2 linked regions of the Oryzias latipes genome follow. Each later gene encodes a partner of the first gene's protein in a complex. Links are inferred from orthologs where the notes say so. Each region holds a gene or a part of one and is shown in the gene's direction. Other genes may lie near its edges. The genes, in order: fnip1 and lamtor2.

Region 1 (3,822 bases):
TCTTCATGACAGATCGCCGCCTCAGCTGATGCTGAGCAAGGTTTTTACAGCCAAAACAGGGAGCAGCGTGTACGGCAGCCTAAACACGTAAGAATGTGCTCAAACACACGCACACGTGGCAAGAAGTCCTACATAAACCTCCTCATTTTCATTGAAGGCCATCCGTCTGATCCCTCAACAGGTTACAGGACAGCCTTGAGTTCATTGGGCCAGAGACCAACACCCTAAAGCCAGAGCAAAACACGGGGCCCAACAATCTTCTCGGGACCATGGGTAACCAATGCAACACCCACCACCACTACAACCACATCTGCCTTCATCCTCATGAAAAATTAACGTATGAAGGATGGGTGAATGGTGTTTTTTTTCCTCCATTATTGAGTAGTTGGAATACTCAACCATGACGATGATGGCTGTAGTTGAAGACCAGCTGCGAATAGCATTTTTGTCTTTTCTCATTTTACTTTATTTTATTATTCTTGTCTTTTGTATTCCATGTTATTTCTCACTTCAAACCTTTTAGCATTCTTGTTTTCCCTTTTTTTGTTGTCCATCTAAACGTCCACCAACTAGTAACTTTTTTGAAAAGATCTTAAAGGCTAATGATCTTTAGGACCATAAATATTCTCCTGTAAAAACAATGGTGGTGTTTTTGCCACCTCCTTAAATTTGATAACACTCTTTAAAAAAAAAAAGAAGAAAAAAAAAAAGAAAGTAGGCTTACCAAGTTTACACAGGTAGCCATCCTGCTTGTCTTAAAAAAGAAATGGTGATTCGAAAAACATTAAACTAACATTTTTTATCATGTACTTTAATACATGTTCTCTCTTTCCAGACTAAAAGTCGCCTTTAACAGGAGGGTTGAACAGAAAGTTTCAGCCTTTTTTTTTCCTTTCTGACTGACTCACTAATCATTGTTCATTGGTTTTGTCACGTTCCCCCCTCTTTCTGTACTCTCCCTTCCATGTTTTTTTGTTGCGCAGGATTTTCTCAGCTCTGCAGCCCTCGAAGGGCCTTCTCTGAACAAGGCCCGCTGCGCCTCATCAAGAGCGCCTCTTTCTTTTCAGGTTGGCGCTTCAAACTGGCTGTGACCGCTGTACGCCAGTTGCATGTGTCTGTAGAGGCTATAGCTGGATTAATGGTGGTTGCTGTGGATATGGCTTGATCGGGTGCATGCTTTTGTTTAATCTCGCCTTTAGAACTAGTAGTACTGGCATGAAGTAGATGGGTGTGTATGTGAATACCCTGGGTGATAAGTCCACCGCTTTGGTCCGCCAAAAGTTTATCTGGACAGCTTCATGTTTGGCATTGAAGAGGTTGAAGGGAAACATTTAACTTTCCTTTGTGAAAACTCAGAATGACGGCAACAATAAAAAAGCTGTCTGTCAATTTTTAAATACATCGGTTTATCTGACCAAGGTGTATGACTGCACACCCACAAAGAGCATGTTTTTTCACTGGTGTTGGTTACTGTAGTCATATTTTGGTCAATGTTTTGCATTTTCTTCTTGAGTTATTCCCTGATCAGCACGTCCAATTCTTTTTTCTTCTGTTTAATAGATTTGAAAGTGGTGTTTGGAGGCATTTTGTCTTTTTTTCTTTTTCTCTGTAAACCTTTAAGGGATGGCGCATGTGACCAGAAAACACACACTCGTTGATATTTACTGTCAAGCTACGTACACGCCGGGCTAGTAAATTATGGTGTTCACACTGCACTGACACTACCCGATACTAAAGCATGTACTTGAAGTTGGAAGAGGCTCCAGGCTTTTGGTTTCACAGCTCTATTCTGAGCACAAACCACAGTTATTAACTTTTCCTTCATGAGCAATTTTCCTACGGGTTGGCACTTCCCCTGAAGTAAAAAGGACGCTACCCACATGTCTCTGATTGGTCAAAGTTCAGCTGGTTAACTTTCAATGCCACGTCAGTGGTTGCGCATTTTGTCTATAGGCAAAAAACGCACTTAAAGATCTGCGTACCGACGTGTGAACGTGAGAGTTTTGATCACGGAAACCTGAAACTTTCATTCAGTGGTCACTGGAACGCGTGTATGAACGTAGCATCACAACCAAACTTCTACCAGAACATCATGTGTTCAAGAAGGAGGAAATAACCACTCAGACCACTACATCAAACACTTCCTACCATTTTGAATCCAACTAAACATTAGACTGTTTCTTCCTATGCAAGTGCTGGATGTTCATAAATGTTACCTTGATATCCATAATTTATCAATGCCATATCTTTTCTTTCCCTTTTCTGGTGCTAGGTAGCATCTACTTCCTAAACTAATTCAAACAAGCATCAATTTATTCATTGATTTTAATTTTTAAGTTTAAGCCCCCCCCCCCCCCCCCACACACACACACACACACACACACACTACTTATACTGAACATTTGTCAAAATTGTAGAGTTTAAAAGTAAAGCTCACTCATAGGAGCCTTGTTGCTGGACTGTAGAATTGACCCAGTCATTCTGGCTTATTATGGTTTGTTTAGGCTCTTATTTATGCTCTTGGCTTTTTGACACCTTTTGTAATGGTACTTCAAAATGCAATGGAACTGTTGGTCAAGTTTGCAACATTTGAATATTATACTTGCGTCGTATGAGACCGAAAGGTTTATGGCACACAAGTGGCCCTTTTGATATGATGCATGTGTGTTAGTTATTTTTATGTTTGCTGTGAGTATGAACTTTGTTTTGATCTTAACGTAAAGCGCTCTGTTGAGAGATTTGTCGAAGCAAAAGCCACCGTCTTTATCGAGTTGTAAAGTAACACGCTGTCACAGCTGCAGTGCTTTTTGACTTCAGCTTCCTCTTGTTGGAGTTACAAAAACAAAAGGTGCTCCGCTTCATACCACTGATCAGTAGAATTGCTGTAGCTTGGATAAGGGATGTTATGGATCTTTAACGGAGCTTTGCAGTTCTCTAACTTTCTTAGATAAGAGTGCCTCTCCGCATGTTTTAACATTAAACTTTGTACAAGTTAGTTGCCCTTTCTGTATTTTCCTCACCGCCTGACCCAAATCATATCTTTGTCTCTTCCATTTTTCTCACATTTGTTCATAACAGGCCACAGTCACCCCATGGACATGCCAGGTCGAGGCCCCCACGATGAGAGGGACAGTGGCATCGCCAGGTCAGGTACGTTAATGCGGCTAACAGCCCAAGCCTGGATTGACCTACACTCTGTTCTACATCCCAGTTTTACACTGAACTCTATGGAAGAACTCAATCTTGACACGCAGAAACATCTCAAACTTGGTGGGTTCCTGAAAATATTTACAACCTTGAGATGTCAACAGAAGGACATATTCAGATAGTTCTTGATTACCAGCTACTTCTCGTGTTAATGTGTCTGACCTCATCAGCCTACTCATCAGGGGCAAGCCCTAAACGGTTACAAAATCACTAGTAATTGAATCAGAAGTGCACAAGCTGCAGTCTTAAAGCGGGGAATGAAAGTGACTCAGGGATTTCCTCTCCATGTTGATGGGTGTAGGAGTGTGAAACTGTTTAGAGACATGGAGCCATGAAAAGTTTAAAGGATCTTCCCCCACAAAAGGCAGAGATAAACTTGAAGGAGAAGAGAGGGTGCTTGTATAAACCTCAATGAACTTGGAAACTTTGTCCCATGGAAACTGACCTTTATGCCCCCAGCTCTGCTCCCCCTCCCCAAACGTCACCATGTGTCATTGGCACGACTGGCATTGTGCTTTCTGTTTGAACACAGGTCACATGCGGAGGATTAAATATAGCAGCTCTCAAGCCTCCTACTACTAAATGAACTTTTCATTTAAGCCTCGTCCTTTGATC
Region 2 (4,342 bases), on another chromosome or scaffold:
ATTCACTCAAAGTTTTGCAAATTCATACTCTTTTTAAAATTGGTGATATTTAGCCTTTCTTGCAGCCACACTGTACATACTGATTAGATTTTTTTTGTAATTTCTTTTCTCCAAAAGACACTTTTATTCGTCATCATCATTTGTCCTTTCAGTTGCAGAGACTAGAATAGAAAAAACTGATTTTTTGACCTTTCATCTAAACTTCAGAGGTGTCAGAATGACCTCAAAGAGTTTTACTATAAATTTAAAGAGTTAACTTTTTTGTCACATATCTAGAAGGAAATGTGTTTATTTCCTTCTGCCAAAATGAGACTACATCCTCTCTGATTTTACACCACGTCTGTAGCTTTCAATGGTTGACGGTATAAACAAAACTGTAAACGGATGCACTTGTGTGACTATAATTTTACCAAAACACATATCAGAGAATACATATTAACCATGCACTCATGTACCATAGCAGTTACAGCATGGAATCAAATCAACTTTTGTTTATACAAATGATTGGTTTGTGTCTTTTTTATAAGTGTGTCCACTCAAACACAACAGATTTACCTCTTAGAACAAAATCCTCTTCTTACAGACAAAAAAAAAACAATAATATCCTCGGCCCGATCACTTTTTCTGATGTCCAAAGGGCAGGAGGGAAACGATTCTGCCAAACACTTTGCGCAAACATGTCCTCCCACCAGGAAGCCAGCAGACAATAAAAACCTCAAAGCAGACTAACCTTTACTGTAAGGAGGAGTGTCAAAAGATTTAAATAACACTTCTTTGGTTGAAGTAGAATAAAAAGTACACTTCTTTGAAGCATAAAATCTTTGAGATAAAAACTCTAAATATGACAAAGGAGATGAATCAAGGAGGTGAAGTTTTCGTCGTTCACTGAAGCAAACTATATTTCCCATGATACATTTCCAAAGAACTGGTCATATTCTAGCAGCTCTAATAGGTGTGAGTGTGAATGGGAGTGTGATTGTGGCCCTGCGACAGACTGGCAATCTGTCCAGGGTGTCCCCTGCCTTCACCCACAAGTGGCCGGGATAGGCTCCAGCAGCCCCGTGACCCAGAAATGGACAAAACGGAGGAAGATGAATGAATGGCCATATTCCAGTTCTCAAAAATGTTTACAGACTACATGGGAAAGTAATTTAAAACAAAAAGATTTGTGAAAAAATCAGGAATAATTAAAAATTTAAAAATAAAGTTTAAAGAAAAACATAATAAATATAAATAGGAAACATGTATTTGGATATAACTGCAATTCCCATGATGCATCTCTAAATGTACCGGAAAAGGAAACAGAAGAAGAATCGAGTCAGCTGACTTTGCTCTGTTATTGAGCAGTTCTCTCTTCTTTTTTAAGCCCCGTGTTTATTCAGTCAGATCATTTTTCTGGGTTTTTTCTCCTGAGAGAGGTCGGCCATGTTGCGACCCAAAGCGCTGACGCAAGTTCTCAGCCAGGCGAACACGAACGGCGTCCAGAGCACCCTGTGAGTACCGCGAGCTAGCAGGCTAACATCCAGCTAGCTAGCAGCGGTTTGTTTGCGTCTAGCTCCTTAGAACTCTTAAAGCTCCCCTGAAACGACACGTTTATATAATTATTACTTCACCAACTTAATACTACTTTTACATTTTCATTATTTATTGCAATAAATACAAATATATTTTTTCAAGATTTGTTTTCCGCTGTTAAATCAAATACAGTTTTACACGAATTTCAAGCAGTTGAATTTTGATTTCAAAATAAGAGTCTTTTTAAAATATATTTGGTTCGTTTTTATTTTTGCTTAGAAAGTCTGTTCAGGGTACAAAATATCATTATCAGGTAGAAAAAAAGCAAAAAAAATCGATTTACATTTAAAAAGTGGTGTGGGAAAATAAGTAATCTGTAATGTTTGATGTAGATCTGTTTGATATAGATCTGTTCATCGTTTTAGCCATTTTGCATCAATCGATCAATTTCTGTCCTGGAGACCTCCTGACAAAATTACTTGGTTTTCATGGTTTGAAAACGGAATGGCGTTTGTCTTAAAACTTTGTCACTGTAACTTTTCATCATTGTGTTGTTTTTGTGTGTAATGAACAACCGTCTCTCTGTGCGAGCAGCCTACTGAACAACGAAGGCTCCCTCCTGGCGTACTCCGGTTACGGCGACACAGACGCTCGAGTGACCGCTGCCATCGCCAGCAACATCTGGGCCGCCTACGACAAGAACGGCCACCAGGCCTTCAACGAGGACAAACTCAAGTTCATCCTCATGGACTGCATGGTGGGAACTTTCTCCTTGTTTTCCTTCAGCCCTTTTGTTGAAGTTAGATTCTATGAATGCCCCAACATCTCTGAAGGGGTCTGCAATTTGAGGCATCACAGCTGTTTTTTTTCCCCCTCCATTGTGACTTTAAAGAAAAAATGTGTATTATTTAAATAAAATAATGTGTTTGTAGTTTTGCTTTAGCATGCATACATGGTGGCACCTGTTCAGTCTGGTCTGTTTCAAACGGGACCAAATGGCTCTTTTAATGTTGTACAAAATATGAATAATGGGACTTGAGCAAACCTTCAGATATGGAAGGAGCTGGCTCTTGATACCAATAGCACCACAGGAAGACACCAAACACACACTCCTTGTACTCCTTGCCCATTTTTTTTTGCCCCGCTCTACAGTTTTGTAAACATTGCTCAAGTCAAACGTGTCAACGTCCTGCATCATTTTTCTCATGATACATAAATAATCTTCGCTCATGCAAACAACCAGATGATTTTCTTATTTCTAACTTCCAGCTCTGAGGCAAAATGTTTAACTTAATTCCCGAAAATCAGCGAATCCACACAGTAAAACCCCCACTCTGCCTTAGGAGGAGGGGCTTTGTGGAGAGTCTTGCTCTGTAGATGGAGGGGAAACCTGCTGCATTTGGTCGCATAAAAAAAGCTGAGATCCATTCTTTCAAACCTGTGATTCAGTTCGATTTGCGCCTCATCGCCCCTTATTCAGTAATAATTCATGTCTGCACATTAGCTGAGAGCTGCTGAACTGAGTGAAGGTCAGGCTTACATAAATACTGTCGTAAATCTGAGCATCGCAAACTAACAGCAAAGCAGTGTTCTGTGAGAAATCCATCTGACTTAGTGGATTTATGATTGGAAGTTACAACCTGTAAAGAAAAGTGACTTTTAGTCTTTGGACTCGACCAATAAAAAGGCTTTTTTTTTTTTTCTCAGGAAGGGAGAGTGGCCATAACGCATGTGGCTAACCTGCTGCTTTGCATGTACGCCAAAGAGACGGTGGGCTTCGGGATGCTGAAAGCAAAGGTGAGGGCGCTGCTTCCTCACATGGGTCTTCATCAGCTGTGGTTCCTCAACGAGTCCCGATTCCTGACCCCACAAGTTCAGTTCAACCAAGGACATTTATTCACTCGTTTATTCATTCACTCTCCTCTATGTAGTTTAGTGGAAGTGAAGCATATTTCAGATCAAATTCCGATTCCAAGTTATTGGATTTGGAGTTGCTGCCGATACCGAGTTCCGATCTGTTACTGTCGTAGCACATCCAAAAAAAAATGACAAACTTAATAAACAGATCAACATTTTCCAAATTTTTAAAATTTTATTAAGCTTCTTTTAGCATTTTACACGTAAACAGAGCACTTCTGGGAAGTATCTTCAACAATCAAGGAAAAGTAATGCAATTATCAAATAGAAAAAATAGTTAACTATAAACTAGTACAAACTTGTTAATAGTTAACTAGTCAAAATAGGTTAATTAGCCCTATGAGAAAGTTTGGTGACTGTAGCCTTAACATCTTCAGAACTGTTGAACATTTTTGATCAGATGTGATTCATTTCCCTGTTATAATATCAAATAATCAATTTCCAAATTCATCGTTGTAGCATAATTATGATGAGTATTTGTGACTTTCAACAGAACCATTGACTAATCGTTAGTATTTTTATTATTATTATTATTATTATTATTATTATTATGTATTTATTTATCTTGGTCTATTTTTCCCAGAACTTGCACTTTGTAGGCGGTCCCTTATCAGCCCACCATCAGTTTCATTCTCTTGAAAAGAATGAAAAAAAGAGCAATTTTTATTTATTTACTATTTACAGTCTTTGTAAGTCGTTGGTAAGTTAAGATGAGCCAATATAGACACTTGCTGTCAGTATAAAATGTTTGATATACCGTACTTATTGTGTCAGGAAGTCTGAATCTGTGAACAACTGGTTAACTTTCCCGAACTGTGTTTGTGCGCCTCCTGGTGGCGTATTCCTGCTCCGCTTTACGACAATAAAACGTCCTGATCCATTCAGGAAGTGCCGACTTCTAGTAGAGTAT

Evidence for each region.
Region 2: fnip1 (region 1) and lamtor2 share a complex: the UniProt entries of both Homo sapiens proteins name them as parts of the lysosomal folliculin complex. The link is inferred for Oryzias latipes from reciprocal best matches to the Homo sapiens genes FNIP1 and LAMTOR2.

Annotation. Positions count from the first base shown.
Region 1 is NC_019872.2:4,900,448-4,904,269, reverse strand, and holds part of fnip1 (folliculin-interacting protein 1), read left to right. Parts: intron 1-12; coding exon 13-87; intron 88-181; coding exon 182-273; intron 274-983; coding exon 984-1,067; intron 1,068-3,078; coding exon 3,079-3,150; intron 3,151-3,822. UniProt on the Homo sapiens protein: Binding partner of the GTPase-activating protein FLCN: involved in the cellular response to amino acid availability by regulating the non-canonical mTORC1 signaling cascade controlling the MiT/TFE factors TFEB and TFE3.
Region 2 is NC_019874.2:28,620,056-28,624,397, reverse strand, and holds the start of lamtor2 (ragulator complex protein LAMTOR2), read left to right. Parts: upstream 1-1,279; 5' UTR 1,280-1,425; coding exon 1,426-1,493; intron 1,494-2,109; coding exon 2,110-2,272; intron 2,273-3,222; coding exon 3,223-3,312; intron 3,313-4,342. UniProt on the Homo sapiens protein: As part of the Ragulator complex it is involved in amino acid sensing and activation of mTORC1, a signaling complex promoting cell growth in response to growth factors, energy levels, and amino acids.